Mus musculus: one gene and its partners. The main gene of each other region encodes a partner of the protein of the gene in region 2 in a complex. Links are inferred from orthologs where the notes say so. Each region holds a gene or a part of one and is shown on either strand. Other genes may lie near its edges. The genes, in order: Actr3, Arpc3, Arpc1b, Actr2, Arpc5 and Arpc2.

Region 1 (4,679 bases), on a different chromosome or scaffold from region 2:
TGTCGTACATTTTAGAAATAATTTGTGTCCAGGTTATCAAATGTATTTCATATGTTCTTATTCTTCTCCCTTGTGTTTATTTCACTTTTATGTAGGTATAGCACACTTTGCTTGTTGTTCTATACACTTGCTTTGTTCAGCTACTCCAGTATATCTGAAAGTGTTCCAATCAGTATGTAAAAGGGGCATACTAGTCACAGTGTAAACTGAGTGTAGTTTGCTAATTTCCCTTTGGACATTTCCAGTCTCTTACCATTACAAACAAATTTATAGAGAAGGTTTTCTTGCATGTTGCTTCACACATGTAGTAATAGTCCTGTATTATTAGTTGATGGAAGTGGTAGTGGTTAATGGGATAGCTCAGTGAGTGCAGATGTTTGCTGCCAAACCTGATTGCCTGTAGACTTCTATCGCTGAATCCATTTGGTGAAAGAGAGAGAACTTATCTCTGAAGGTTATTCTCTGACCTCCACATTCATGCAGTGGCTTGTGTACACACAGTAAATGAGTAAACTTACAAAGGCAGAGTGTGTGAGTAAAGGCTCCTGCTGTCAAGCATCGTGATCTACATTTAGTCTTTGGGACCTTCATGATGGACAAGACACCCAACTCTTGAAAGTTATCCCCCGACTTCCATACCTGCATTATGGTGCACGTCTGTGCATATATACATGCATTCATACATACATAATATACTTTTTTTTTTTTAAGTTGTGGGCATTTGAGTTTGTAGCTTAGTAATAGAGCACTTGCCTAGCTTGTGCAAAGCCCCATGATTTGGTCCACAAATACAGCAGAAAGAAACAGAACTGTAGATATATGTGATTTTGATAGTTTCTCAGTGTTACAGCTCTCACCTTCCTTCAACTCGCTCTGTAGTCAGGCTGGCCTCAAACTCACAGAGATCTGCCGGCCTCTGCCTCTTGAGTGCTGGCATTAAAGATGCACACCACCATTGCCTAGCAAGTGATTTAGATAGTTTTCAAGGCAGAGATGCTGAGTGAACTAAACTTCTGAATATGTATATACAACAAACTCTCACTTTTTAACAAAATTGCAGAATACATATTGAGATTAGTGAAATTTTATGAAATTTTTATTTTACAGATATACAAAACTAGGATATGCTGGAAATACAGAGCCACAGTTTATCATCCCATCATGTAAGTATTTCTTTTTCCCCATGGATGAGCTGATTTAAAGGTTTTCCTCATTTCATTATCAAAGTAAAACAAGTCATCAAGCATGCTATTATGTCAGAATCAGGCATTTAGAAACAGGATTGCCTGTAGATGGAACCTTATTTCCAACTCTTTTAACTATTTATTTTAGGTCTTTACCAAATCTGCTAAGTATCTCTTTAAGGAAAACAAAACAAAACCAAACCCAGTAGTGAATTGATAATTAAATAGTTTCTGCTTTGAGGATATTGCTGCTACCTTTGTGTATCTGTAACTGGCTATTAAGTAGCTCAGCTAAAGTGACCGTCCTTTGGCTGGAGGATACCATTACTGTTTGCAAGACCTATCCTGTAGACATCTGATGCAAACGCCAATATTTCTCAGTGAGGAGCAGTGGTCCTTGACTCAGCAGCCTCACTGTTTGCTGATATCCTATAAGCATGCTATGTTTAACATTGTCTTTGGGAACTTTTGTTCTATTCTGCTTCTGTTAACATTCTGCTAGTTGTAACAGTTTTAGTAGATTTAGATTGTTACAGGTATTTTTATTAGTAAAGGTGTATATTATCCTCAGCGTTATTTTTGTATTTTTGATTTCCATCATCTTAAGGCTGTTTGCATAATTATAACAAGTGAAGATGCTTAACTTGAATTCACAAAATTAAAACCTAATTAGATTACATAGCAGGTTTTTTTAAAACAGTGTTTTACTTTTAGTCACGTGTGTATGAGGCTATCTATCTGCCGTGTGTGTATATGGGTACCATATGTGTATATGAGACACAGGAGAGTATCCAATCCCCAAGAGCTGGAGTTATAGTAGTTGTGAATTAATCCGTGTGCTGAGAACTAAATGTGGGTTCTCTGGGTGAACTGTATGCTCTCTTAATCACTAAGCCAGCTCCAGCTCCAAAAAGTACACCAGTAGATTTCACCTCTGGGAATAGACACAGAATTCTGAAATTAGTTAAAGGGATTACTTTTTGTATTTAAGATTAAAATTTAGTAGATCCCCATTGGATAAGAATAAATAGAGATGTAAAGAAAGCTTGTTTTTAAAAGTTCTTTTGTAGATTTTTCTCCTTTTATTGGTTAGTGTTATTTACCTTTAATTTCTTGCTTATCCATTAAGCTTTATATTGACTTTATAAGATTACAATTTTATTTTGAACTTATTGTACGTATATTGAGTATGGTTGCATAGTTGTCATAACATACATGTAGAGGTCAGAATGACTTTCTTACAAGTCAATTCTCTCCTTCCATCATGTGGGTTCTGGGGATCGAACTTAGGTCATGAGACTTGTAGAACAAGTACTTTTACCCACTCAGCCATCTTTCTGGCAGTACAGGATTCAGAGCTAAGCTAAGGGTTGGTAGCAAAGGACTGCAATTCTTATTACTTGGGAAGTTAAGGGAGGCAGGTTCCAAGTTTAAGACTGGCTGGATAACTTAGTGAGTTGTGTCTCAAAAGTAAAAAATTTAAAAAGGCTAGGTAGATAGCTTGGTGGAAGTATATACCTGATATGTGTAAAACCCTAGTAACACACATGCAGCCACATAATTGGAATCAAAATTTAATAGTTGTTGGAAATGGAGCTGAAATAATCCCATAGTAATACATTTGGGGGGTTGATACTTGAGGCCTGATCCCTGAGATGAAGCTGAGGTATGGGTGTCTAGAAGGCATTTTGTCTATGGCTTTTGTTCATTAGTTGAGAGTTTTAAGTATTCTGGATCATGCTTATTTGTTGTTTTTAGTAACATTTTACAATTGAAGAAGGCAAGTTAAAAGTTGTTTCATTTGAAGAGATAAAATTTTTAAGATGTCTAATTACTTTACTTCAAAGGTATTGCCATTAAAGAGTCTGCAAAAGTGGGTGACCAAGCCCAGAGGAGGGTGATGAAAGGCGTGGATGACCTAGACTTCTTCATTGGTGATGAAGCAATAGAAAAGCCCACATATGCAACAAAGGTATGTTTCTAAGAGGGCTCCAATCAGCCGGTGGCCGGTTTCACTCTGTCGTGGGCTTGTTGCTTTCTCACATTGAGTTTTCTGGTTTAAAATTTTCGAGACAGGAACTCACCTGGAACTGGCTGTGTAGACCAGGCTGCTCTTGAGTTCATAGATTTGCCTGCTTCTGCCTTTTTGAGTGCTAGGATTAAAGGTGCTTAAAGCCAGTTTAAAACCATATCTCGCTCTGCTCTCATCTTCCTAACTGTAAAAATGTCTCCTTTCCCTTTAGCTTTAACACAGTGAAGTGGGTGGATTTACTTTTCTGTGCCCTAGCCTCTCAGGGCCCTTGGTAGGGAATGAGTGTTCTTTCGTCTCCGCATTACTACATCTAGAGAGATTTCCTTCTTGGATCAGATACTCATTTCTTCTAAGCCATGAGGGAATCTTGTTCTTCCTCTTTCCTTCCCTGCCTTTTCTGTCTCTTGATTGACATAGAACTTACACAGCAAAGCAAGTAGTCTTCATTATGCAGCTTGGAGAGTTTATGTGGCTGATTGTACCAGGTAAGAGCGAATCTTGTAACACAGGTCTTCCTGTGTCTTTGTTCACAGCCACTTCTACAGCCTTCTTGGAAGGTAAACACTTCCAAGCATTCATTTCCTCCTGCGTGCTTTTCTCTCTTTGTAATTTTAAATGAATAACTACCCTACCATATGTAAAAATAAATCGTTACAGTTTTTTGCTTTGTGCTGAAAAGAAAGTAGCAAGAAACAACTTCTCTCCCAGGGATATTATGAAGCGAGTAAAAGGAAAGGAAAGCAGGATAGGGCGTTGTAGGCATGAACCACAGAAGTTGTTAGTCTAGTTGGGGATTTAGCAGTCCTTGAGGGATAAATTCTTGAGCTGAGTCTGGAGTTAGGCAAGATGTACAGACAGCCATTAGGCAGAAGCTAGTACAAAAGAGGGCTTATTAGGAAGACAGGGAGCAGCATAGCTTATGTGCCTGAAATCCAGGGGCTTCATGAGAGCCAGTTCCACCCACAGGTAACATTCATGGATATACTTGATCAACTGTGTTCCTAAGTTCTGTTTGGATTTGAATTTTGGCTGTGCTTCTTTTTAGCTTTGTGGTATTATTCTATGGCTTATCTTTCTGTAATTTAGTTATTTGTGGATGCAATGGAGCTATTAGTACTTCAGGGTTAGTGTAGACCTTGTTTAGAGGATGGCTATAAAGAAATTGTTGTAGTACTCAAATAGTGAAGTGTAATTATTTGAGGGAGGCATGTGTATTTCTGAAGTAATGATGTATGGCAAGGGATGTTTGTGACTTGGGCCAAGGCAGAAGTTTTCAACCTTAATGCTAAGACCCTTTAATATAGTAGTTCCTCATGTTGTGATGATTCCCAACCATATATTTTGTTGCTACAGTTATGAATTATAATGTACATACCTGATATGCAGGATAGCTGATAATCAACCCCCCAAGGGTTCATAATTCACAGGCTGAGAACTGCTGGACTAAGGTAAATGCTAGTAGG
Region 2 (3,581 bases):
CAACACTTGGGAGGCAGAGGCAGGCAGATCTCTGCGAGTTCAAGGCCAGCCTGGTCTATAGAGTGAGTTCCAGGACAGCCAGGGCTGGCTGCACAGAGCGACCCTGTCTTGAAACTTCCTCACCCTTCCCCAGAAAAGAAAGAAAAATGGACAAAGTCTAAACAGTTGTGTGGAGAAGGTGTGTAAGTGGCCACATCAAAGCAGCTCACCATCTTCAAGAGAAATACAGACCAAGGCACAATGAGATTCCACGTCACAGCCCCTGGGAGAGCAATGGAATGTGTTGGTGAAACATGGAAGAAAACAGAGCAGTCACATGTCACTGTGGGAATATGGAACAGCACAAGTGTGGGGGGAAAAAACCACGCAGGCCTTCTCCAGTTCCCGTGTGACTCAAGAGGTCCTACCCTGAGGGCTATGATAAGCAAGAAAAATGAAAACTTGTGTCCACATTAGAAATGTGTACATGGCTGTTCTTGACAACAGTGTTTAGTCAGAGCTCCAAGACAGAAACAACACAAATATCCATTGGATGATGATGAACAGACACGTGATCTGTGTCCAAATGGAATATTACTCAGCCATAAAAAAGGAACGGACAGAGCATGGATGCACCACCATGGGTGGGTGTTGATGATGTTGTGCCACGTGAAAAGCCAGGTATGAACGGATAATTATTGTTTGATTCCACTTACATGAGCGATGGGGAGCTGGGGGGATGGGCTTAGCAACACGCTAATTAAACAAAGCCAGACTGGAAGGCTGACTTATCCACTATAGAACTCATATGATCACATGAAGTATCTAGAATAAACAAGTCTATGAAGATAGAGCATAGACTAGTCCAGAAGTTGGGGGTGGGGGTAGGAGGCTTATCAGCAAAGGAGGGAAATCACTGCTAAAGGCACATCTTTTGGGGGTAATAAAAGCGTTGTAGAATTAGATGTACGTCATGGTTATGAAACTGTACATACATACTCACAACCACCAAACTGTTCATTATTTGAAAGGATTTGATGGAGCCCAGCGTAGTGGAGAACTCCTGCAATCCCAGGACAGGGAGTCAAGGTGGGAGGACTTAGGTTTAAGACCCACTTGGGAGACAAAACGAGCTACAGGCCAGTCTGGGCTACACAGTGAGGCTGGCTCAAAAACGACAAACCAAACCAAACCATAAATAGAAAACCAAGCCCTATCCCTCAATATACCACCCTTTCCCATACACGGTACAGTGTGTGTAAGCTTTTTCTCAAAAATGTTTTAATTCAATGTCTAACATAAGCAGTGACATTTATTATATATTAAGTACCAGCTTAAAACTGCCAAAAATCGAAATCACCCGACACCCACCCTCCCAATTCTTGACCAAGAGCTTTTCCAGCAAAGACAGGCTCTCTTCTCTCCTTGATACGGTAGGTATGAACAGACACATCGGCCTGTGTGTCCTATGATGTGTCTCCACGTGATGGTGCTGCCCAGGCTCCTCTCACTGCCCAGGCCCCGAAAGACTCTTGTTCATGAACTGTCTCTTCACAAAGCAAGTCCACCACTGTCAAAGGCACAAGACAGAGCATATGCTCAGGGTCAGGGCACAGTGCAAGTGTGGGCGCGGGCCAGCATTCCAGCCTCTCTCTATGACAAACAACAGTGTAAACAGCAGACACCTCCCACTGAACTCAAAGGTGACCCCACAGAGCAGGGAGACGCGTCCACCTGGCCCTCCCCAGGCGTGAGGCTCGTATCACATCCACCCACGGGCAGGAAGGCATGTGAGGCAGACGCGGTAGCATGCCTGTGTACTGCAGAACTAGAGGCAGAGGCAGAAGGAGCTAAGGTCACCTGTGGCCACACAGTTAGCTCAAGTCCAGCCTGGGCCATTGTTCACCCCCCCCCCCACCCCAACCAAGGGGCCCTGACACGCACTGTATACACGCATGCATGCACATACACGCACACACACACAGATTGCTCCCTGTGACTGTTCTGTACCTGATGCAACAGAGCCACCATTTCCATTTTACATGGCATTTACATCACATACAGATGCCATGCCATTTCACAGCAGGGACCAACAGCCACAGACTGTGGACATATGGCTACACAGCCCATACATAAACGATAGCCGTGGTCTTCCAGAGCAGGCAGAAATGATCGCTCTCGACAGCAGACTTCAGCGGTTTAGAAGGCCACGGGCCAGAGGCTCCAGCTCCAATTAAACAGGCAGAAGGGGACATCTCACCTTGCTGGGTTTATCACTCTGAGGGTCAAAAACCTTCTCACACAGCCTCAGTCCGGTCTCTTGCCTCAGCTGCTGGAGGTACGCCCGCATCATCTCTGCAATACAGGAAATCTGTGTGTGAGGAGGCCCTAACCATGGCCTGTCTGACACTGACCTTGGTGAAGTATTTGCACACATTCAGACAGCTTAGGACAAGAAAGAATGGCCTAGATGGTCTTGGTCCTCTTGGTCGTCTTGGTCTCTCTCTTTCTCTCTCTCTCTCTTCCTCTGTGTGCGCGCACGCATACGCGCACTTACAGGAGTGTGGTTTTCTCCTTCCACTGTGTGTGTGGGTCCCAGGAATCAAGCCCAGACCGTCAGGCTTGTCAGCGGCTGCCTTTACCAGCTGAGCCACCTTGCTGACACAGAATGGTTTCATAACTACGTTCATTTTGGTAGTAGTTCAACAATCTCTGCATGTTCGTTACACTTGTTCCCAAGCTCTCTTGTGACAGTTAAGGCAACACGCGTGTGCTGAGCACCCCGCTGTCAATCTGAGCACCAGCCAGTGGGCCGGGGAGATGGTTCAGAGGAGAAAGAGCCTGCCGTGCACGAGAACCAGAGAAACAATCCTCAGCATCCACATACAAGTACAGTGGGCACGGTGGCTGGCCTGCCTGCAGCGCCAGCCCTTAGGAGGGGCAGGGCCGGGGGATCCCGGGAGCAAGCTGGCCAGTTACACGAGCTCAGTCAGTGAGTTCCATGTGCAGTGAAAGAGCTTGCCTCGATATTGCCTAGATATGCAACGTGGACAGTGACCAAAGACCCAAAACCAACCTCTGGCCTCGGAGCACACAAGCACACAAGTACATTCACACCCACTTGACTTGCCCACACACACACACACACACACACACACACACACACACACTTCCAGTCTTGTTCTTACCGTCCTCCTGTTTGCTCGCAGGCTTGGCATAAATGGCGTTGAGAGGAAAGCCAGGCTCTCCGGGGATAGGGAAGTTGGTGATTCCTAGCGTGTACATTTCCTTCTCGCCTTGGCTCTTGGAGTTGCACTAAAATCAAAGGACACCGTTGGTACGTGAGAGTAAGTCTCCAAATACAACCCTTCACTGCACGCAGCTGCCAGGGGTGTACGCGTGGGTGGGTGTTCTGTGAGTGCCCGTCTGCAGTGCCTGAACCTGCAGCCCTCTCAACACTGCTCCCAAGGAATAAGCCCAGAGAAACTACTGCAGTGGAAAGCAGGAGTTCAAATACTAAAAACCAAACTTGCCACATAGGCACACATTTCTCTTCATAAATGCACACAGTAATTTCTTTTATTTTTATTTTTTTGAGACAG
Region 3 (4,679 bases), about 23 Mb from region 2:
CCATTTGCAGAGCAACCTGCTGGACATGAGGAGCTGGGACTCCTCCTCCACCCTCCAAGCCCTGCTGCTTGTCTGATAGGGGTCTCCTTCCCAGGCAGACGTCCAGCTCACCTGCACTTGAAGTCACAGGAGCCTGCTGCCAGGAGCACGTTGTTGGGATGCCAGTCCAGGCTGAGCACTGTGGAGCGGATGGGCTTTTTTATGTGTTTGCACACCCACCTAGACACATGGGTAAGAAAGGCAGGCAGGTGGATAGGTAGCATGGATTGTAGCATTCCAGGTAGGTCAGAACTCTCTGCCTTGTCACTACCCACCACATAAGATCATGTGGTTCTAAATGGTTAGGGTGGAATATGAATTCTGTTTCTCCAGAGTCAAAACTGTCCTTGTCCTCCTACATGGGAGATTTAAGACACAGGTGGGACAGGCATCTGACACACACACAAATTATAATAGAGAATTGAATTCCAGGGTAGCCTTGGCTACATAGCAAGACGCGGTCTCAAAAGCCTCACCTCGGGTGGGGAATGATTGAGCAGCAGGTTCTTAGCATGCATGAAGCACAGACGAGGCGTGGTGGTGCACACCGGTCATCCCAGTATTAGAAGGGCAGAGGCAAGAGGAACACACGTTTAGGATCACCCCTGGCTATACACTGAGCTTGAGGTCCTCCTGGCCTACATTCAGACCCTGTCCTTTTTTAAAAATTGTGGCTGGGTGTTCATGAGTGGTCTCTGAAGCCAGATGCCTACTGACTGTCGGTGTTGAACCCGCTTAACAGTGCAGCAAGGGAGGCTGGTGGTGGTGCGTGCATGGAGCTCAGTGTAGTATCCCCGGAAGTCAGAGTTGTGGGGTCACTGTAGAGAGGACGCTCTGCCTCACCAGTGAGGCTCAGAAGACAGATGTCCTGGAGTCTCCACATTGCATCTGCCATGTTCAGGGACATTCTGATCTTGCATCACGTATGCACCCGTACCCCAGCCCAGGTTCCTCCACCCCCAGCCAAGCACCCACCAGTCATTCTCCTGCTCAAAATAACAGATGGAAATGACCCGGGAGCCGCTGCCCACGGCGAACTTGTTCTCATTGGGGGCCCAGCGCACACAGCGGGCAGCTCGATTGATCCGGAGGATGACCAGTGTGGGCTTCCACGTGCGGCCCTTCAGCGTCCACACATAGGCATTGCGGTCCGTGCCGCAGGTCACAATGCGGTTACTCTCAGGGGCCCAGTCGATGCCTGCAGGGTCAGGTCAGAGGACGTAAGACTAAAGGCACCCAAGCTACAGCGGCCATGTCCAGATCTTTGACTGTGGTGCCCAGGGATTTGCTCATACTAACCAAGTGCTCTACCACTGAGCCAAGCATTCAGCCCCACCAGAAAATTTTAGGCAGGTGTTCTACTGTCGAACCATGACCCTGCCCCTGACAACTGGGGGATTCAATGCAAATGCTCTACTGCTGAGACCCATGACCACTGGAGAACTCCAAGGAGGTGCTGTACTGCTGAGCAGCATCCCCCACCCCTCATGCTCTAGGGGTGACTACAAAAACTTATTAGCAGGGAGCTAGCAATCTTCACCAGCTAACACCAACCATGTTGGAGGTAAAGCCAGGAAACAGGTAAGAACTGTGCCTCCTGATACTGAGCTGCCGATCAGGCCTCTCCTGAGCATCTAAGTGCTCAGTTATAGACACCAATATAATCTCTTTACCATCTTTAAAATTTTATTTTTGCCTGGCGTAGTCGTACACGCCTTTAATCCCAGCACTCGGGAGGCAGAGGCAGGCAGATTTCTGAGTTCGAGGCCAGCCTGGTCTACAAAGTGAGTTCCAGGACAGCCAGGGCTACACAGAGAAACCCTGTCTTGGAAAACAAAAAACAAAACAAAATTTATTTATTTACTTAGTGCCTTATATGTGCCATGGCTAGTTTGTGGAGGTCAGAGGACAACTTGCAGGAACCGTTATTCTCTGACCACGTGGGTCCTAGAGATGGAACTCAGATCTTCAAGTTTGGCAGTTAAACCCCCTTTATCCACTGAGCCATCTTTATGGTCCCTAAATCAACTGGGATCAGAGTCCTTTTCATTGCAACCCAGACTACTCCAGCTAATACTGAGCGAGTTGCTGGCCACGCTGGCCCTGCCCCGTCCCCTTGCCTCCTCTCACCTGTCACCTGCCCGTTGTGCTCCTTCAGCTCGTGCACCTTGTTCCACTTGGCACCGCTCTTCTCATAGATGTGCACCTCATGGTTGTTGGGGCAGATGGCGATCTCTGTAGGGAGACGGGCATGAGCTTAAGGAAGCAGCGTGGGCGCCCACCCTGCCCACCTATGCTCTCCACTAGAGTACTCTTCCAGAGCCAGGCCGTCCCTAGCATTTAGATTCCCCCACAGCAGTCTCAGGACCCTGGAGCCTCACCTCATCCCACAGCTCTGTGTTAGCAAAAGTCCCGTTACTGCCCTGTCTCCATGACATTCCTCTCGGCCCTGGGGCCCTCCTACCCACTGTGCCCTTAAAGTGTTTCACATTCTGTGTGTTTGTGTGTGTGCACACGCGTGCGTGAGCCACAGCATGGGAATGCAAGTCAGAGGACACCTTGTCGTCTTGAGTTCTTTCCCTGCACTATGTGGGTTCTGCCGCTCAAACTCATAAAGCTTGCTTGGCAAGCAATGCTGAGCCATCTCACTGGCCCATTTTGTTGATTTTTAGAAGTAGGTTTCACTGTGTAGCTCAGGCTGGCTTCAAACTTATAAGCCCTCTGCCTCTGTCTCCTGAGTTCTGAGATGATACGCGTGTACCCCCACCCACCAGAGCAGATCCAGAAGGCCCAGGCTGTTGAACGGATCACCCAACATTTCAACACCTCCCTTTCTACCCGCCTGGCCACCTCTGCCTGCTCTGCGGTTCTACGCCACTCTCCCAGGAGCAACCACTTGCTTTAAGCAGAGATCCAAGATGTGGAGTCTGGCTGCACCCCACCCCTCAAAGCTGTCCCACTACCCTGCCACTCCATTGGACCCAGCAATCCCAGTTCGGAGGCCACCCTGCAGAAGCGAGCACTCACGTGTACGGTCCTTGTTCCAGGCATGGCAGCTGATGGGCTCCACCAGGAAGCTGTGGTAGGCCATAGTCACTTGTCTCCTGGGCCTAGGGAGGGAGGCAGAATGCAGGTCACCTGTGCCCTGCTCTTGGCAGGGAGGAACAGTCTGCTCACCCTAGTTTCCTGACCGGCCAAGTATGTTACAGCCTCCCCGTGAGCCCGTGTCCCTCATCCCAAGAAAGCAGGTGACACAAGATGTCCCAGGCCGCAGATAGCTGGAACAGTGTGGGACCCTGAGCCACATAGGCCTGCTACTTTTCACCTGTGCCTCAGTTCCTTCCGAGTGGAGGATACGCCCCTGCTCCATGAACGCACACACGCAGTCCCATATAAGAGCAATGTAAAAATTAAACAATACCCCTAACCCACTTACAGCAGAGCCTGGCTCAAAATGCAGTTGGGCCAGTCAGTGCCCGGTCCTCCCTTCCCAGGCCCTGAGGGTTGAGCAAAGCAGGGAAAGTAGATAAGACAGCTGGCACTCTGGGGCAGGCTCAGAGCTGGGCTCCCGCAGCTTCCTCCCCTACACACTGAGGTTCAGAGGACTCTGGGACTGAGGAGGGACGCCCAGCCTTCAGGCTTCCCTACAGCCTTTCCTGGCTAAGGAGCTGCCTCGGAGCCCTTGGCGCACGGCCCCTTCCCCCAGGGCATTCACCTTGCTACTCCCACATCCTGCCAGATGTGTTTCTTAGCCATTCCAACCCATATTTTCATGCCTGGGATCTCCTCTTTGCCTTTCTCTCTAGTCTTACTCCACTATGTCACTCATCCAAAAATACCGAAAGTCACCTCCTCCAAATCCCTGCTCTGTCCAACCCCTTCCCTCACCTCCCCAGACTCAGGATGTTTCGAGACTATGGAGAGACATCATGGCACTGTCGGCCAGCTGTGTAAGCCAAAAGCTCACCTCTGCCCCACCCCCACCCCACCTCTAGCTGAGGGGAGAGGAGAGTGGGGTGGTATACCTAGGCTGGGCTTGACAGCACATGCCTGTAATTCCAGCAATGGACGAATAAGATCTGAGGCCACCCTGAGCTACCCAGACCTTGTCTCAAGAAACAACCAGAGCTGGGGATTGTAGCTCAGTTGGCAGAGTGCTTGCCTAGCGCTAGTGAGGGTTCCCTCCTCAGCACTACATAAATCCGGTGCGGTGATACAAGCTTGAGAGACAGAGGCAGGAGAATAGTCCTAACTCAAGTCATCTTCAGCGCACAGTGAATTCTACCCAGGCCGGCCCGAACGACGCGAAACGCTGTCTTATAAAGCGATGACAACACTGTGCAGCCAGGAGGTGATCTGCAAGTGGGCTGCTGGGCTGGGTGGGTGTATTCACTGGGTAAAGGCACTTGCAGCCAAACCTGACAACCTGAGTTCAATCCCTGGGAGCCATGTGATGGGAGGAGAGACCTGACCCTCAGGTTGTTCTGTAATCGCCACATGCATGCGTGGCGCAGACGTGAACACACAGACAAGTAAACAGAAAAACAGTCTATGAAAGATTAGCATAGAAGAAGCCAATTGCGGCCGCAGAGATGGCTCAGCGGTTAAGAGCACTGACTGCTCTTCCAGAGGTCCCGAGT
Region 4 (4,679 bases), on a different chromosome or scaffold from region 2:
AAGATTTAGACAGTCCAACACTTTAACATGACTTACGCAGAAATCCCTTACCTGCTGAACTCTGGTCTGTATGGCTGGTTTGTCTGCCTCAGGCTTACAGAGAGAGATTCTCCTGTGCCTGGCTCCCAAGTGCTGAGATTACAGGTGGGCACACTGTGCCTGGCAGTCATTCAGAGTCTGAGGCTGACCTATATACACAGGTGGGCCTCAAACTCAGTAACGTTTCAGCCCCATATCAAATTTACTGAAGTTACAGGTGGGCACCACCATGTCTCAGGTTTTGTTTTTGTGGGGGTGTTGGAAAGGGGAAAGCGGGGTTAAGATGGCCTGGCTATTAGTCCAGGCTGAGCTTGAGCTAATTCAATGACTCTCCTGTCATAACCAGTGTCCAACACAAATCAATCAAGTCTTACACTGTTAGTTCTCTCATGGTTTGCTTTATGCCATTTCCTTCAAAACAAGATTGAAAATTGGGATCGTAAGCCACCAGAACAAACCTGGAGGTTAAGAGACATTATAAAATACATTTTTATTGTGCCCTTAAAGTGGCATCTTTTTGTTTTTTGGCTTTTTTTTTTTTTTTTTGGAGGGCAGGGGTTGAGACAGGGGGTCTCTTTATTCTTGGCCTGCTTGGGACTTACTATATAGACTCAAGCTTAGGAATCCTCCTGCCTCTGCCTCTAAGTACTGGAATTAAAGGCATGTTCTACCACAACTAGTCTCTGACAATATTTTCTTCCCTTTTTTTTGACTTTTGAGACTGGGTCTTACTATGTACCCTTGGCTAGCCTAGACTTCATGGAAATCACCATGTCAAGCTATTTTGGTTGGTTTTGGAGGCCTCATGAGGTTGGTCTCACTACTTATATGGCACTCTTGCCTCAGTATTCTGAGTGTTTTTATTACAGCATGTGCTACCATGCCCAGCACAAGTGTTCTTAAGCCGGCGGTGGTGGCACACGCCTTTAATCCCAGCATTTGGGAGGCAGAGCCAGGCGGATTTCTGAGTTTGAGGCCAGCCTGGTCTGCAGAATGAGTGCCAGGATAGCCAGGGCTGTACAGAGAAACCCTGTCTCAAAAAACAAAAACAAAAAAACAAAAAAAACAAAAAAAAAAAACAAGTGTTCTTAAGCCCAGGGATCACAAATGTGTGCAACATAATGGATTTTAAAATAAATCTGAAACTAGCCTGGGTTCTAACCCAGCCTGGGCTACAATGAGACTCTGTCTGAGGGAAAAAAAAAAATCAAAGCATGAATACTTCCTAAAATACATTTCTTAGATGATTAGCTCCATGACACACTACAAAAATTTGAGGTCCATGCAATCCCAGCATTCAGGAGGCCGAGGCAGGAGGACTGTGTAGTACATATATAGCGAGACTCTCAGGATGGTCCGACAGGCTGAGACACAGGCACACGACATTTTCACATCAAAGAGCTTACAAGTCAGACAACAAAGCAGCATCCATTGTCTCCACAGTGTGTGACAGTTATAACTGTGCTCTATTTTCATAACTCCTAAGCAGCCCCAGAGAAATGACACTGTACAAAACATGTTGAGCGATACTCTCAAGATGCTCGAATCTCAAATATGACCTCCATTTTTAATTATATTCTAATTTAATTCTTGCCTTAATTTGCAATATATGGAATCCCTAATAACTAATCACAGAAACTAAACATAGCAGGAAATCCTGAGAAATCATATGTAAACATATTACAATAACTAATACCCATGTTAAGGCCTAATCTGCTGGGCACACATAAGACCCTAGGTATGATATTCAGCAATGTGTGTGTGTGTGTGTGTGTGTGTGTGTGTGTGTGTGACCAAACAAACCAAGACTCTGGAGTCGAGGTGACACTAATAAACACAGATGCCCCTTTACACCCATAATGTATTTTACATAGGATACTTACTGTATATGACTCAACTAACACTGTGGTCTCTAAGGCCAGCTTCTGCTCCTGCTCAATATTGTAACCCACATAACAAAGTTTTTCCTTAATCATGCGAACTGTCTCAAAATCAGCAGAATGGTTGAAGGCATATCCTCGCAACAGCAGCAGCTGGTATAAAAAGAATGGCAGTAAATTAATAATCTATGAGAACGAGTTCCACTGAACAAAAGTTAATCTCCTAGAGGATAAAATGGCTCGGAAGGTCAAAGGCACTTGCTGTCTATGCCCGACAACCTAAACTCAATCCCGGGAACCAATAGCAAAGCCAATAATGCTATCCTGGGGTGAGGCTACAACTCTTGTATAGTGAGTTTTCTAAGTTATTTTATCATTTTAAATTATGTGTATTGTGTGTCTTTGTGTGGATATGTGCCTGAGAGGTCCAGAAGAAGGCATTAGACTTCATGGGAACCAGAGTTACAGGCAATGGTGAGCGGGCCAAGATGGGAACCAAGATGTTTCTCTGCAAGGCAGTATGTGCGCCTGATCACCGAGCCAGCTCTCTAGCCTCTGTCTTTGTATAAGTCAATAAACAAACTTAAAAAAAAAAAAAAAAAAAAAAAAGACTACCTTTTATTATATTTTCCTCTCACTTACCTTGATAAGATACCTGGTAATATCCCTCCCAGCAATATCCAGCCTCCTTGTAAGGTGAGGGAGAGAAAAGCCTTCATATACTGGGCAAATGTGAGTGACGCCATCTCCAGAGTCCACTACTACACCAGTCAGTAAACCTGCACAAGAACCAGAAGGTTCTGAGTTAATTCAGAAAATCAAAGCGAGAACGTTTCAAATGTAGTAGAGATGCCACCCACAAAAAGGTGGCTAGTGAGGCTTAGAGCCAGCATTTCCTTTCCTTGTTTTCTTAAAGATTTATTTTATTTTATGAGTATGGGTATTTTGCTTCCATGCATATAGGTGTGCACTAGAGGCATGTCCTGTGCCACGGATACCCTGGAACTGAACTGGAGTTACAGACAGTTGTGGGCTGCCATGTAGGTGCTGGGAATTGAACGCAGGTCCTCTGGAAGAGCATTCAATGCTCCTAACTGCTGAGCCTTCTCTCCAGCCCCCATTTCTTCTCGTTTTGTTTTTCTCAAGACAGGTCTTTTTATGTATTCCTGGCTATCCTGGAACTTGCTATATAGACCAGACTGGCCTCATATTCACAGAGATCTTCCTGCTTCTGCCTCTGCCTCTTCCTCTGCCTCTGAGCACTGGGACTAACGGTGTGTGCCCCTAGGCTCAACTTCAGCACTTAATTTCTAATCACAGATGGCAGGCAGCATTTGCTCCCTGAAGACTTTCTTTCTTTGTATTTGACTTACATGTGGCGTGGAGGGGAAGGGAGGGGAACATGCATGCCATATGGTGCGTGTGAAGTCAGAAGACAACATGGGGCAAGTGCAGGGGCTGGTTCTCTCCTGCCGCCAAGTGTGGCCAAGGATGGAACTCAGGTTTCAGACTTGGTGCTAAGTGGCATTACCCAAACTCATCTTGCCCTGGTGTTAAGGGCCCTTAACACATACCTTTAATCTAACAATAAAGGTAAAGTTAGTTTGTAGAAGAAAGCTCCTGTGTTTGAAAGTGATGCCTAACTAAGTAACAACATGACGAATTAGAGAAAAATTTGGCAGAATAGGGTATGCCCAACTCTCACAAGAGGGAGGTAATTTGACTTGTCTAGTTATAGAGAGACAGGTTGCAGAGAGAACAAGGCAGACACAGGAAAGACAGAGCGAGCCAGAGAATGAGAAGAAGCCTGAAGACTAGAACTGACTGCCAAAGTTAGTATGAGGCCACGCAGAACCTGCCAGGCAGAGCTCAGAAAGAACTATAAAGGGCGAGCTTACCCAGCAGTAAGTCTCTGAGGCTGAGGGCGAGCTTACCCAGCAGTAAGTCTCTGAGGCTGAGGGCGAGCTTACCCAGCAGTAAGTCTCTGAGGCTGAAAGCTTCCAGGACCAGGCCTAGGTCAGCAGAGGGCGGTAAGCCTCAGCGACAGTAACTACTACAGGAGAATAAAAATTACATTTACAGGAAACAACTGGGAAAAGTGACTATTAACCCAGTTACAAGACAGTAAGTGAATCTGCTAAGATCACCTGGTCAGCGCTGGTGCTCATACCAGAAACCAGCTTTCAGAAGGCTTGTGATTGAAGAACCAGAAACTCTACGTTACCTATCTCAAAAAAAACCCAAAACAAGGCCTCTAGCAGAGAAAAACTCCACCCCTCACTCTTCTATTTAAAGGATGACTAGAGTTCCTAGACAGCCAGAGCTAGAGTCAGGCACCATCTCAAAACAAAAGAAAAACACAGAAGTGGATGCTCACAGTCATCTGTAAGATGGAACACAGGGCCCCCAATGGAGAAGCCAGAGAAAGCACCCAAGGAGCTGAAGGGGTCTGCAACCCTATAGGTAGAACAACTATATGAACTAACCAGTACCCCCAGAGCTTGTGTCTCTAGCTGCATATGTAGCAGAAGATGGCCTAGTCGGCCATTACTGGGAAGAGAGGGCCCTTGGTCTTGCAAACTTTATATGCCCCAGTACAGGGGAATGTCAGGGCCAAGAAGTGGGAGTGGGTGGGTAGGGGAGCAGGGCGGAGGGAGGGTATAGGGAACCTTTGGGATAGCATTTGAAATGTATATAAAGAAAATATCTAATAAAAAAGAAATGTTGTTTATTTAAAAAAAAAAGAAAGAAAAAGAAAAA
Region 5 (5,314 bases), on a different chromosome or scaffold from region 2:
AAACCTAGAGGGAGTGCCACATTGCTTCTTCACAAGGAAAAGGGACACACTTCACATACAGCGCTCTCTCTACATAAACACATACATACACATGTGTGTGCCTATGATCAACAACTGTTTGATCCTGACGTCTTTCTCTTTTTGATTGAGTCTCTATTCCCAATGTTTTTATATATTTTATATTTCACTAACTCATCAAGCATGCACTAACTACCTTCTGAATACCTAATTTTATTTTATATGAAAAAAGATACATAAGAAAAAATTAGATTCAGCCCTTCAGAATCTTGGGATCTCTTTCCCCAGCAAGAATAAAACCTATCATTAGGTAGTTTATGAAGCTCGTGCTACATAACCCATAACACATTGCACACATATGCAGAATTTTAGAGTCTTTTCGAAGCATTTCCACGTATTGAGCCCTGGGAACATCCTTGTGAAAAGCACATTAGCCCCATCTTAGTACTAAGAAATCCAAGGTTCCAATTTTTAAGCAACATGCCTCAATCATGCAGATTATGAGAGCAGAAAAGTCGAGACTCAGCCTGCTTTTTGATCCCAAGCCCAGTGCTCTTTTCCAGTACGGCAGAGCAAACGAGAAAACTCAACAGGATGACATCCAGCCTTCTGCTATACGTGAAACCAGGTGGTTCTGCATCGAAGCAGGGCAAAGCCAAATGTCTGAATTAATTTTATTCTGTAAATACTTGTACTACGGTATATTACACAGAGCACAGCTATTATTTGATTAATCTTTGTGCCTCTGCCTCCTCAACAGAAGCTCTGATCTCACAAACCGGAATATGGAATATAGCAAAAAGCTGATTTGACGTGCTTCCAGGAACCTTAAACAATAAATAACAACCTTGAAAGTCCAGTCTCTATTAATCCTTGCACTCGCTATTTTCCCTCAGCACTGAAGAGCCTAACTCGCCCACCCTCTTCTGGCATTCTTGCTCCAAATAACTACTTATTTTAAGATGTGATGACTGATTCTAGAAAATGCTACAAGTTTGCCCCAATTTCACTACCTGGCCCAAGCGTCTTTTCCCTCCCTCCAGATGGAGAGAATACCTAGTTCAGATTCTGCAGGTCCGGTCGCGATGCTGTCACACAGCACTGACAGGTAAGAAGTGACCTTTTCGATTCCGTCCTTGGGGACCTCCCACCGACAGCGTGCCAAGAGTCCAAGCCGGGGAAGGGGCTCTCAGCTCGGGAAGGCAGCCCCCGGCGGCGCACGGTCCGAATGGAGGGCTCCGATCACTAGTTCCGAGCTGGGCATCACTTTGCCTCATACTCCTGCAGACTGCAGGGGACTAGGTTCTGCAGCCAGTCCATCGCACCCCACGCGCGAGTCCGGTCACCCACACTTCACACCGGACCCCAACAACCAGCGGCTGGCACCGACAGCGGCGGCGGCAGCAGCACTCCAGGCCACGCTCCCGAGGTGCCCATAGCCTCCAGCCCAAGACCCCCCGCAAGGCAGGACCGCAGAAAAGCGTTTCTATGGGAACGTCCCGGGCATCACGTGATGCTCCCCGGCGACCAATCGCGTCTCCGCGCCGCCTCTGCCAGCTTTCTGTCGACCCGCCGCCCCCGCCTCCTTCTCCAGCCCCGCCCCTTTCCTGCAGCGGGCCCGCGCGTGCGCGGTGCGTCCCGCGCGCTCCCCTGCCGACGCGCGCTCCCGGGGGACGCGGGGGCGGAGCGGGGGCTGAAGGATGGCTGCAAGCAGAGGAGGAGGCCGAGCCCGCTAGCGCGCAGGCCCAGAAGCTTGCAAGCCGCGGCTGCCGGCGACGCCCCAGAGCGGAAGAGGGAAGTGAGTCGGACCGGGCTGGGCTCGCTAAAGGAGAGGCACCGCGGAGGGGCAGGCCAGCGTCGCGTCGCGATCCGGGATGTCGAAGAACACGGTGTCGTCGGCCCGCTTCCGGAAGGTGGACGTGGACGAATATGACGAGAACAAGTTCGTGGACGAGGAGGACGGCGGCGATGGCCAGGCCGGGCCCGACGAGGGCGAGGTGGACTCGTGCCTACGGCAATATCCTTACGCTCGCGGCGGCCGGGGGTTGTGGGGACGCGGGGCCACGCGACCGGCTGTGCCCGGCTCTAGGTGGGGACGGAGGACAGGAGCTCCCGGGGCCAGCAGGCCGCCTGTACCCCGCGGCCGCGCCGGCGAACTTACCGGCGGCGCCCCGATTCCTCAGGTGCGCGGTCCTAAGCGGCCGCGCCCTCCCCGGGGCACCGCTGGTGTCCTAGTGGGCACCTGAGCCAGTCTCTGCCCGGTGGGGACACGGGCGTCCCGCTTGGAGTCTTGCTTTCCTGTCCGGTGTGTGTGGTTGGCGGAGCGGGGATAGTTTATCCCTAGCCAGGAGAGATGGAGCGGTTCGCAAATCGAGGCCCTCGGTACATTCAGCCCCGGGGCTATTTCATCGGCAGCATTGTTTATTAAGAGAGAAGGGCTTTGGCAAGGTGGCATTATAATTCATGAACGAGCCGAAGGGAGTTTTCTTCTCCAAAATTCCCAGTTAAAGCTTGGAACCTTTCACCTGCTAAGAAAAGGCCACTAAAAAAGGGATAGCGAATGCATGCAGAGAATCCCTGGGAATAATATAAGATGAACCCCAGTGAATAAAGCAGAGAATGAGTCGGTTCTATAAATCAACATTGTTTTTCTGAAATTGTTTCCCTTCTAGTTAAAACATGGCTGTCAGTTCCTGGTTCCTTGGTTTGCATATCTGAATATTCATAACCTCGAAATTCATTTGCATCGATCCCTTAGAAAAATAGAATGTTACAAAAATCCAAACTGGAGCTTTAGAAAAATCGTATTCATTAAGTCTGTTCATACAGCTCTCCCCTCATCAATTTTCTACTAGATTATAATGAAGAAAGTGAGCAAAAACAGTGGTAACCACAGCATCAAACGTACATATATGTGCAGTATAGGTTTAACTTTCATTACCATAACTTTCACAGTTGTTACTAATTTGATTATTTGTTAAAATACTTGGGTTTTTTTTTTCTTTAAAAGACCATGCAGGCTTGACAGTAGTTTATTACCTACTGTAGATAATTTTTTATTAGACCCTTTGCACAGAAATGGTGAGCTTATTCTTTGTTTGTTTGGGTTTTTTTTTTTTTTTTTTTTTTTTTTTTTTTTTAGTCTTTATGGTGGATATATGATATTTTATTAAACTAATGTATTTTAGGTAATTTCTGGTGATTCCTACTGCTGTGTTCATTATCAATTCAGTCTACCTTTTTGTCAATCCATTTTAAAATATAAAGATATTGTCTCTGGTTCTAACTAGGAGAGACTTCAGATTGGTCGGGTACTACAGATGGAGGAACCAGTGACTCTGTTTCTCCTTTTAGGGAAATGACTGTCTGTTCTGACAGTCTGATTGGCCTTCCGTTTCCCCTGCTTGCTAACTCACCAGTGCTTTCAGAGACTGAGTAGGTATGGATGGTCCAGCCCAGTTTGAATAACCTGTAGGAAATAAAGTAAGCTGCCACCTACAGGTCGTGCGGGTTACTACATCATCCAGAGCCCTGTTCATATTAAGCTATTCTTCCATTCTGATTGCCAGAATAATCAGCCAGCATTTCAGTTAATACACAGTGTAGTTTCAGTATAAAGTCTAGGGTTGTTTTCCAGCAAGAGTCACACAGACAAGTGGTATACTTTGTTGGTAAACTGCATCATTTGGTGACCTAATAATTCTTAACACATAGTCTTAAGATTTCTTGAATACCCATCTAGACAATTGCGTGTATCTCACTGGAAAGTGTAATCTATTTGACTGATAGAACTGAGGTCAAAACAGTCTTTGCTTTTTTTTTTTAAATCTATTGTTTAATTCCAGTATTTTTACCATTGGTTGACATGTGGGAAACACACCCATGCAGTTTCTAATATCGAACATAATGACCATAGTAACTTTTGTTACTGTGCAGAAAGTCAAGTCAAAAACCAATATTCCTGTAAAGCAGGGGCCATCCTTTTCTGTTCCACCCTTAACCTTCGTTACAGGAAACATGACAGCTGCTCTCCAGGCTGCTCTGAAAAACCCCCCTATTAACACAAAGAGCCAGGCAGTGAAGGTGAGTTTCAGACTACAGCATTAATCTCTTCTGTTTCACTATTAGCAAAGTCCTTTGATGCCCCACAGTCAACATTGTACCTATTTCCTGTCCTTGACACAAGAGTTTACAGTGTGACTTTTGAGACTGAACCGCAGTCTATAACCTGGTCTGAAACTCAGGAGATCTCCTGCCTCCACTGGGATTAAAGGTATATGCCACCACGTCCAGCTTTAAAGGGAGCTTGTGACAAGTAAAAATGTCATGAAAAAAATAGCCCTGAAATGTAGAGTTAGGAGAGTGCCGTGTGGAGTGCAGTAAATTTAAAGGATAGAGCCATCACTTCTGCGTGTGCTTCAGGAGGAATCCACTCAGGTTGGATTTAAATGGGCTTGAAAAATAAATTTGCCAAACACACACAGCTGCTTCTTGATTTCCTAATTTTGTAAATATTAAATATTATAGAAAACAAAGCATGCGTGACCTTAAAAAGGTGATCTCTGTCCTACTTCCTTGGGTCTTATAGTTTTTCCTAATTTTGTAAATATTATAGAAAACAAAGCATGCAAGCTTAAAAAGGTGATCTCCATGCTATTCCTTGGGTCTCAGTCACTGCCTTATATGGTATCGCTGCACACCTAAGGAGTTTCTACAAGGGTTTGTGCTCTTTTAAAAAATAAATAGAATCTTACACTCCAGCTGTGTAGTCATGTACATGATCTTCTTTCCTTAGCAATAGATTATTTCTGTGGCATTTAACTGCTATACACTAGTATGTAACATCTTATATGCAACTGATCCCTGTTATTGCATGTTAGATTTTCTAGTTTTTCCTGCTAAAATTGATCATTTTAAATCTTAATTATTTATGTCAATAAAATTCCCAGAAGAGAAATGCTAGCACAAAAATGACATTTTTTAAAGACTTTTGATACACAAAGCATTGCCAAATCTCTCAGAAGAGCTTTGTAGCTTACATCCCTACATCAGCCCTCCACTGATTCTTAGGGAACTGCTTAGTTGTTTATTGTTTAAAATGCAGGCTAAGCAAAGCCCTGTAAAAGCCTACATCTCAGGAACCTAAGAACCTTAATTGAAGAGTAATATGTAAAAACATAATAATTATTGCAGCCACAAAACTTTATATTGGGGAATTTTTTTTCTTTGCTCCTTAAAAGTTGTTAGGAACATCATTAAATTTTCAATTTTACCCCTTCTGATTTTATGTGGTTTT
Region 6 (5,357 bases), on a different chromosome or scaffold from region 2:
TTGTTTGTTGTTACTGATTTGGGGGCAGGTTTCTCACACAGCAGCCCAAGCTGTCCTGAGCTTACTTCTTAGCCCAGGGTAGACTCAAACTCACCATGATCCTCCTGGTCAGCTTCTGAAGACTGAGGCATAGGCACCATGTCCTGCTTTAAAGACTTTTATTCCTTCTAAACAATTGTGCTGTGGAATGGGATGTTTGGGGTAAGGTGATACAGGCAATGTTTGTAGGTGTTCTGACCAAATCGGGTCCATATTTGCTCATTTCGCAGTATATCAGTCATTGAATGGCCTTATTTGCTAAAATCTGTTCCTTGGGCAACCCAGTGTGGAGTCCAGAAGAGGGATCTCAGGGATATTTATGGAATAAGGAAGGAAGTAGTCTAAGGATTGGGCTAAGGTGACTCAAGCAAGAAAAAGCAAGTAAGAACCGGTAGGCTGTGCTTTCCAAAGCAAACTTTACTTCTCTTCAGATTGTGCATGCTCAGAAAAGGGCAGCACAAATACCTTCTAAGGGTGGAGTCTTGTCCCTCTGTAGGTGACAGGTCAGCTGTCAGAAACCTGCCTAAACCTGAGGGGCCTATGGCCTCAGTGTGAGAAAGACGATGCTGTTGTCAACTTCTTGAAAAAAAAATAATAACTCAGGCAAAGATTAGACACGTCGTAGGTGTCATCTTTAGCAAAGCTAGTGGGACTCTATTGCTTAGCATACACATTTGTGCTTTGGGGTTTGAGAGATGGCTCAGCAGGTAAAGTACTTGCTAGGCAAGGCTGATGACCTGACTTTCATCCCAGGATTCCACAGTGGAAGAAGATAACCAATGTCCAAAAGCTGTCCTCCAGCCTCCACTCAACAACCACGATGCACATGTACTCTCCCTATAATAATAAATCTTAGAATTCCATATTTGTTCATTTGCTTTGAGACAAGAGACAAGGTCTCACCATGCAGTTCTGGCTTGCTTGGAACTTGCTGTGTAGAACAGACTGGCCTGGAACACACAGAAATCTGCCTGTCTCCACCTCCCGAGTGCTAGGATTAAAAGTATGCCTCACCACAAGCAGCAAAAAAGATTTTTTTAGAGACAACTGAAATGAAGTAAGAAAGGCATATTGGTGTGAACTGAGAATCCCAGAACTTGGAGACACCAATACATGTTCAAGGCTAGCCAGAGCTACAGAGCAAGTCCCTCTTTCAAAAATCTGGACAAACAGGGCCAGGGCGTGGCTCAGCAAGTTGTGCCTGTTGTTAAGCCCGATGACCTGAGTTCAATTCTCAGGATCCATGTGTTGGAGAGAGAAGGGAACTGACTACCAAAAGGTGTCCTCTGATCAATATCAAACAAAATTTTTTTTTTTATTGCATGGAGAAGAGGCTTAATTAAAATTGTTCCTGGAAGAGAAAAAAGTGGAAACATGGTACCCAAGCTGAAAGGACAGGTGGCGGTGGCGGCACTTAAGCAAAGAAATAAAGGTATGACAGGAATCCCTAAGGCCCATCTGGATTCCTTTCCTTTATTGCCCAATAACAACGTGGAATTTATTGCGTTTTTGTTGTTGTTGGTTTTTTGTTTTTGTTTTTTTTTTTTTTTTGGTTTTGGTTTTTCGAGACAGGGTTTCTCTGTATAGCCCTGGCTGTCCTGGAACTCACTTTGTAGACCAGGCTTGCCTCTGCCTCCTGAGTGCTGGGATTAAAGGCGTGCGCCACCACGCCGGGCTTTTATTGCGTTTCTTTTAGCAGACCATAAGCTTTAGAAGGTCAAGTCCTCATCTATTGCATTAATCACTGTATCCCTGGGAAGGAGAGATGGCCACTAAACAGTCGCTGGCGAAGAATAGGCACAACGGTGCTGCAGGGTAGCCCTAAGCACGGAATGAGCAAAAAGCACCCACAAGTTGGAAGCAAGGGATCCCCCCCACCCCAAACAAGCTTCTTAAGGGGGCTTCTGAAATAATATCGGAAGGGTGGAATCAGGCTTCTGGAATATTCGCGAAAGGGGCAGGTGGATTGTACGGACAACGGGGAATGACAGGTGAGCGTAGGACTCTCCTGGTCAGGAGGAGCGGGGCGGCGTGTGGCGCATGCGCACGCATGCCCTCTGCCTGCCTCCTCACCGGGACGCGCTTGCGGGCGAGTGCACGCGCGAGGTCGAAGCGGAAATGGCGCCGCGGGGCCGCGCGTGCGGGCGGCGAGCGGAAGTGGGTGTGAGAGCGGAAGTGGCCGGCTGGAGCCGGGGGCTGGGCGGGGACCGGGATCGTCAAGTAAGGCGGCGGCGGAGGCGGCGGCGGCTCGGCAGGCGGGTTGAAGCTTCGGGGGCCAGGTCGGTCGGGTGGTGGCTGCCTGCTACAGGCAGCGCGTGCCGGGCCAGCGCGTGTGTCCGCCTCTCCCCACCCCGCTCCCCGTCCCCTTCTCCCCTCACCTACCGCACCCAGCCCCCCTCGTCAGGGGCAGCGGGGCCGCTCCCTCCGTCCTACCCTCGATTGCCCACCCTCACCGCCCTTGTTTCTCCTTCCCCTGCCCGGGGCAGCCGCCGCCATGATCCTGCTGGAGGTGAACAACCGCATCATCGAGGAGACGCTCGCGCTCAAGTTCGAGAACGCGGCCGCCGGGTAAGCGCACGCCGGGAGGAGGCCGAGTTGACCCCAGCTAAATCCCGGGTGGCGTCCAGCTCCCCAGCCCTAGAGGGGGACAAATCGGGAACCTGGCGCGGCTTCAGGGTTTCCCTGGCAGGATGGACGTGGGAAGCCACGGGGCGCGGTGAGCCGAGGGCCTGAGATGCGTGGGGAGAGGCTGAGATAGGGATGCGGAAGCAGCGAGAGGACAGGGGCAAGGCGTGCCAGAGAACAGGAGACCTGTAGGACGTGAGGGCAGCCGAGGCCAGAAGTCACGCCCGAGAGCCTACGGTCCTCAGGGGGGAAGAGAGGGGTGCACTTCCCTCTGTCTTTTCCGTCATTGTACCGAACCCAGAGAGACCCTTTTGGGGAAGCTGGATTGAATGGAGTTTTCAGGAATTCCCAGGGCGAGGTGGGAAGAACGTGTAGGCCCAGATCGCCACCAGCATTCTGCTTCCCCACCCCCATCTCTCGAGACCCCAGGAAAAGCAGGAGGCAAGACTGAAAGCAGACCCAGGCTGCTAGGGGGGTAAAAAAAATCTCTAACCTACTGTGAAACTAGCCATTTTGTTATATATCCTTTAGGCAAAGCCAACGGTTCTCCATCCACACTCTCTTTAGCTCTCGAGACAAGCTTGCTCTATTTACTTATTGGTTGTGTGTCTTAAATTCTTATCAAAGACCCCGGTCTTTGATTTCTTCTGTAGTAATGCCGACTGGGTTAATAGCTGCTTCTGCTCCCAGAATCTATAAAGTTCTTAAGATAACCATTTATAACATCAGCATCTTAATATATGGGACGTATTTCCAGCCCTCTCTGTCATACACAAAAAAGCAAACTCCTCCCTTAAAGCCGCGTTGCCTCTCTAATATATTTAAAACCTGAGCAGAGGAATTGGGTTTTAGGTTCTAATTTATGGTGGCCTGTGGCCATTCCTTTGCCTCATTTCCTCATTGGTAAAGGTGGGGCTTCACATTTTGGTTTCACAGTTAGGAAATAAGTGCAGGCTGTTTTCTGTGAACTAGGAACTAGAAATAGGAAAGTGCTTGCCGATCCACAGAGGGAAGAGGACTGGGAGAGGGGGAATTCATTCATTCTCCCCCTTTAATTCTAAGCATTTGTAATGAACTTGTGGTTCACAGACATCGAAAGCATGAACCCACTACTTACTCGGAATACATTGTCTGCTCCGTCTCTTTTGTAAGGTTACAGATTTTACCTGCAAAACAAAATGGGACATTCCTTGAATTGGTGCATTCAGTGTCATGCTGTTTCCTGCCCTGGACTGCAGTTGAGCATTTGTGCACCTCACTTGTTTCTTGTCTGCAGCTTCTTTGCATTTTGAGTTTTGGAGTTAGTCAACACAGGGCACTTACTGTGGGTGAGGGGGGTGCGTGCTTTTTTTTTTTTTTAATTAGTGTAGCACAAAGGAGGAAGTTAAAATAACTTCTGCATTTTCACTGCTGATCTTAATACATACATTCTCAAGTCTTGACTAGCAAAGAATGAGTCCTGGGTGGTTACAAGCTGATCTACAAGATAAATGGCTGTGTGTGTTCAAGTGGAGGCATGCCTTTAAATGGAGGAGGACTTTCACACTTACTTATTAATAACTTGATTCTAAGATGTGACCCATTATTCAGAACTTTCTGTAGCCCTTTTTCTTTTAGAAAACTCTCCTTAAAGTTCTGTGGTTGGTGGTCTATGCCTGTAGTCCAAGCACATTCAACTGTAACTCCAGCTTTCAGGAGCTCATAGGAGACAGGAGGAACAAAAGTTCTAGGCCCTAGTGAGACTTTGTATCAAAGAAAAAAGAAAAAGGCAGGCCAGACTGGGTGTGATGTGCTTGTAATCCCAGTGCTTGGGAAGTGGAAGCAGGAGGACCAGGAGAGCAAGGCCAGCCTGGTCTACCCTGTTGCAAGTAAAAAGCTTACTCTTTCAGAAAGATTAAAATAGGGTTTTAAATTTGGAGGGCATAAGTTAGAATTTCTTTGGGGGGAGGTGGTAAGGGTGCTCACTGCAGCCAGGTAAAATGTCTGAGGAGGTAGGAGGTTTTGTCTTATTCTAGCTCATCCTTAGAATGTATGACTTAACAAATGCACTCAAAACATTGTGTTAAAAATACTTTGATGTCTTTGAGAAGAGACTATGGAGGGCGGGGATTTTCTGAAATTGGCTGTTTCTGTGGGGTGTAATGGCACCCTCCTATAATCCTAGCACTAGGGAAACAGGCAGAAGGGTCAACACAGGTTCTAGTCCAGCCAGGGATATTTAGTGAGACTTTATTTCAAAAGAAAAGAAATTAAAAGAAAAGCCTACCTCTGAAAAAAAAAAAGTGTTTCCAGGTCCGCCCTTTAAGATGAGGCAGCACTGGGGTGGTTACAGAGGTCAACAAGGATGTCTAGTGTGCTCATCATAAACATGGGTGCGTCTCACCAGAGCCCAATACCAGGCAGCAGCTGAAAGCATGGGGCCCTTCCGAAGAGAGCCTGTTATCGAAGTTAGGGAGGGACTGATGTATACGCTATATTGGGAGAAGATAACGAGCTTAAAGAGAAGAAGCCCGGAGACCCCAGAGAGATGAGAGGCTGTGCAGGGTGGAAGTGGGGAGAGCTGAGCCCCACACTGCTCTTTGCACTTGGCAGAAGAGATTAGTCAGGGAAGTTATGATCATGTAGCCTTTGCCAGAGGGATTCTTTCTGTTCTGGAGTGTCCTGTACCATAGCCACTTACTATATGTGGCCCG

The links.
Region 1: the proteins of Arpc3 (region 2) and Actr3 are in contact, whole or in part, in a cryo-EM structure (PDB 6YW6), measured with the Homo sapiens proteins. The link is inferred for Mus musculus from reciprocal best matches to the Homo sapiens genes ARPC3 and ACTR3. Residues at the interface, in NP_001265485.1 of Homo sapiens: Tyr47, Tyr48, Lys50, Ala51, Phe54, Phe55, Lys56, Lys158, Trp159, Thr161, Cys162, Phe163, Val164, Lys165, Arg166; in NP_005712.1 of Homo sapiens: Phe203, Gln206, Asp210, Arg211, Glu212, Leu238, Val239, Phe242, Asn243, Ile253, Asp270, Gly272, Tyr273, Glu286, Phe287, Pro290.
Region 3: Arpc3 (region 2) and Arpc1b share a complex: the UniProt entries of both Homo sapiens proteins name them as parts of the arp2/3 complex. The link is inferred for Mus musculus from reciprocal best matches to the Homo sapiens genes ARPC3 and ARPC1B.
Region 4: Arpc3 (region 2) and Actr2 share a complex: the UniProt entries of both Homo sapiens proteins name them as parts of the arp2/3 complex. The link is inferred for Mus musculus from reciprocal best matches to the Homo sapiens genes ARPC3 and ACTR2.
Region 5: Arpc3 (region 2) and Arpc5 share a complex: the UniProt entries of both Homo sapiens proteins name them as parts of the arp2/3 complex. The link is inferred for Mus musculus from reciprocal best matches to the Homo sapiens genes ARPC3 and ARPC5.
Region 6: Arpc3 (region 2) and Arpc2 share a complex: the UniProt entries of both Homo sapiens proteins name them as parts of the arp2/3 complex. The link is inferred for Mus musculus from reciprocal best matches to the Homo sapiens genes ARPC3 and ARPC2.

What each region holds. Positions count from the first base shown.
Region 1 is NC_000067.6:125,414,733-125,419,411, reverse strand, and holds part of Actr3 (actin-related protein 3), read left to right. Parts: intron 1-1,107; coding exon 1,108-1,163; intron 1,164-3,031; coding exon 3,032-3,156; intron 3,157-4,679. UniProt on the Homo sapiens protein: ATP-binding component of the Arp2/3 complex, a multiprotein complex that mediates actin polymerization upon stimulation by nucleation-promoting factor (NPF).
Region 2 is NC_000071.6:122,403,837-122,407,417, reverse strand, and holds the end of Arpc3 (actin-related protein 2/3 complex subunit 3), read right to left. Parts: intron 3,295-3,581; coding exon 3,168-3,294; intron 2,335-3,167; coding exon 2,240-2,334; intron 1,550-2,239; coding exon 1,487-1,549; 3' UTR 1,237-1,486; downstream 1-1,236. UniProt on the Homo sapiens protein: Component of the Arp2/3 complex, a multiprotein complex that mediates actin polymerization upon stimulation by nucleation-promoting factor (NPF).
Region 3 is NC_000071.6:145,120,127-145,124,805, reverse strand, and holds part of Arpc1b (actin-related protein 2/3 complex subunit 1B), read right to left. Parts: intron 3,150-4,679; 5' UTR 3,131-3,149; coding exon 3,067-3,130; intron 2,275-3,066; coding exon 2,170-2,274; intron 1,238-2,169; coding exon 1,015-1,237; intron 220-1,014; coding exon 112-219; intron 1-111. UniProt on the Homo sapiens protein: Component of the Arp2/3 complex, a multiprotein complex that mediates actin polymerization upon stimulation by nucleation-promoting factor (NPF).
Region 4 is NC_000077.6:20,078,101-20,082,779, forward strand, and holds part of Actr2 (actin-related protein 2), read right to left. Parts: intron 2,699-4,679; coding exon 2,562-2,698; intron 2,073-2,561; coding exon 1,923-2,072; intron 1-1,922. UniProt on the Homo sapiens protein: ATP-binding component of the Arp2/3 complex, a multiprotein complex that mediates actin polymerization upon stimulation by nucleation-promoting factor (NPF).
Region 5 is NC_000067.6:152,764,833-152,770,146, forward strand, and holds the start of Arpc5 (actin-related protein 2/3 complex subunit 5), read left to right. Parts: upstream 1-1,709; 5' UTR 1,710-1,892; coding exon 1,893-2,035; intron 2,036-4,028; coding exon 4,029-4,101; intron 4,102-5,314. UniProt on the Homo sapiens protein: Component of the Arp2/3 complex, a multiprotein complex that mediates actin polymerization upon stimulation by nucleation-promoting factor (NPF).
Region 6 is NC_000067.6:74,234,293-74,239,649, forward strand, and holds the start of Arpc2 (actin-related protein 2/3 complex subunit 2), read left to right. Parts: upstream 1-2,224; 5' UTR 2,225-2,533; coding exon 2,534-2,607; intron 2,608-5,357. UniProt on the Homo sapiens protein: Actin-binding component of the Arp2/3 complex, a multiprotein complex that mediates actin polymerization upon stimulation by nucleation-promoting factor (NPF).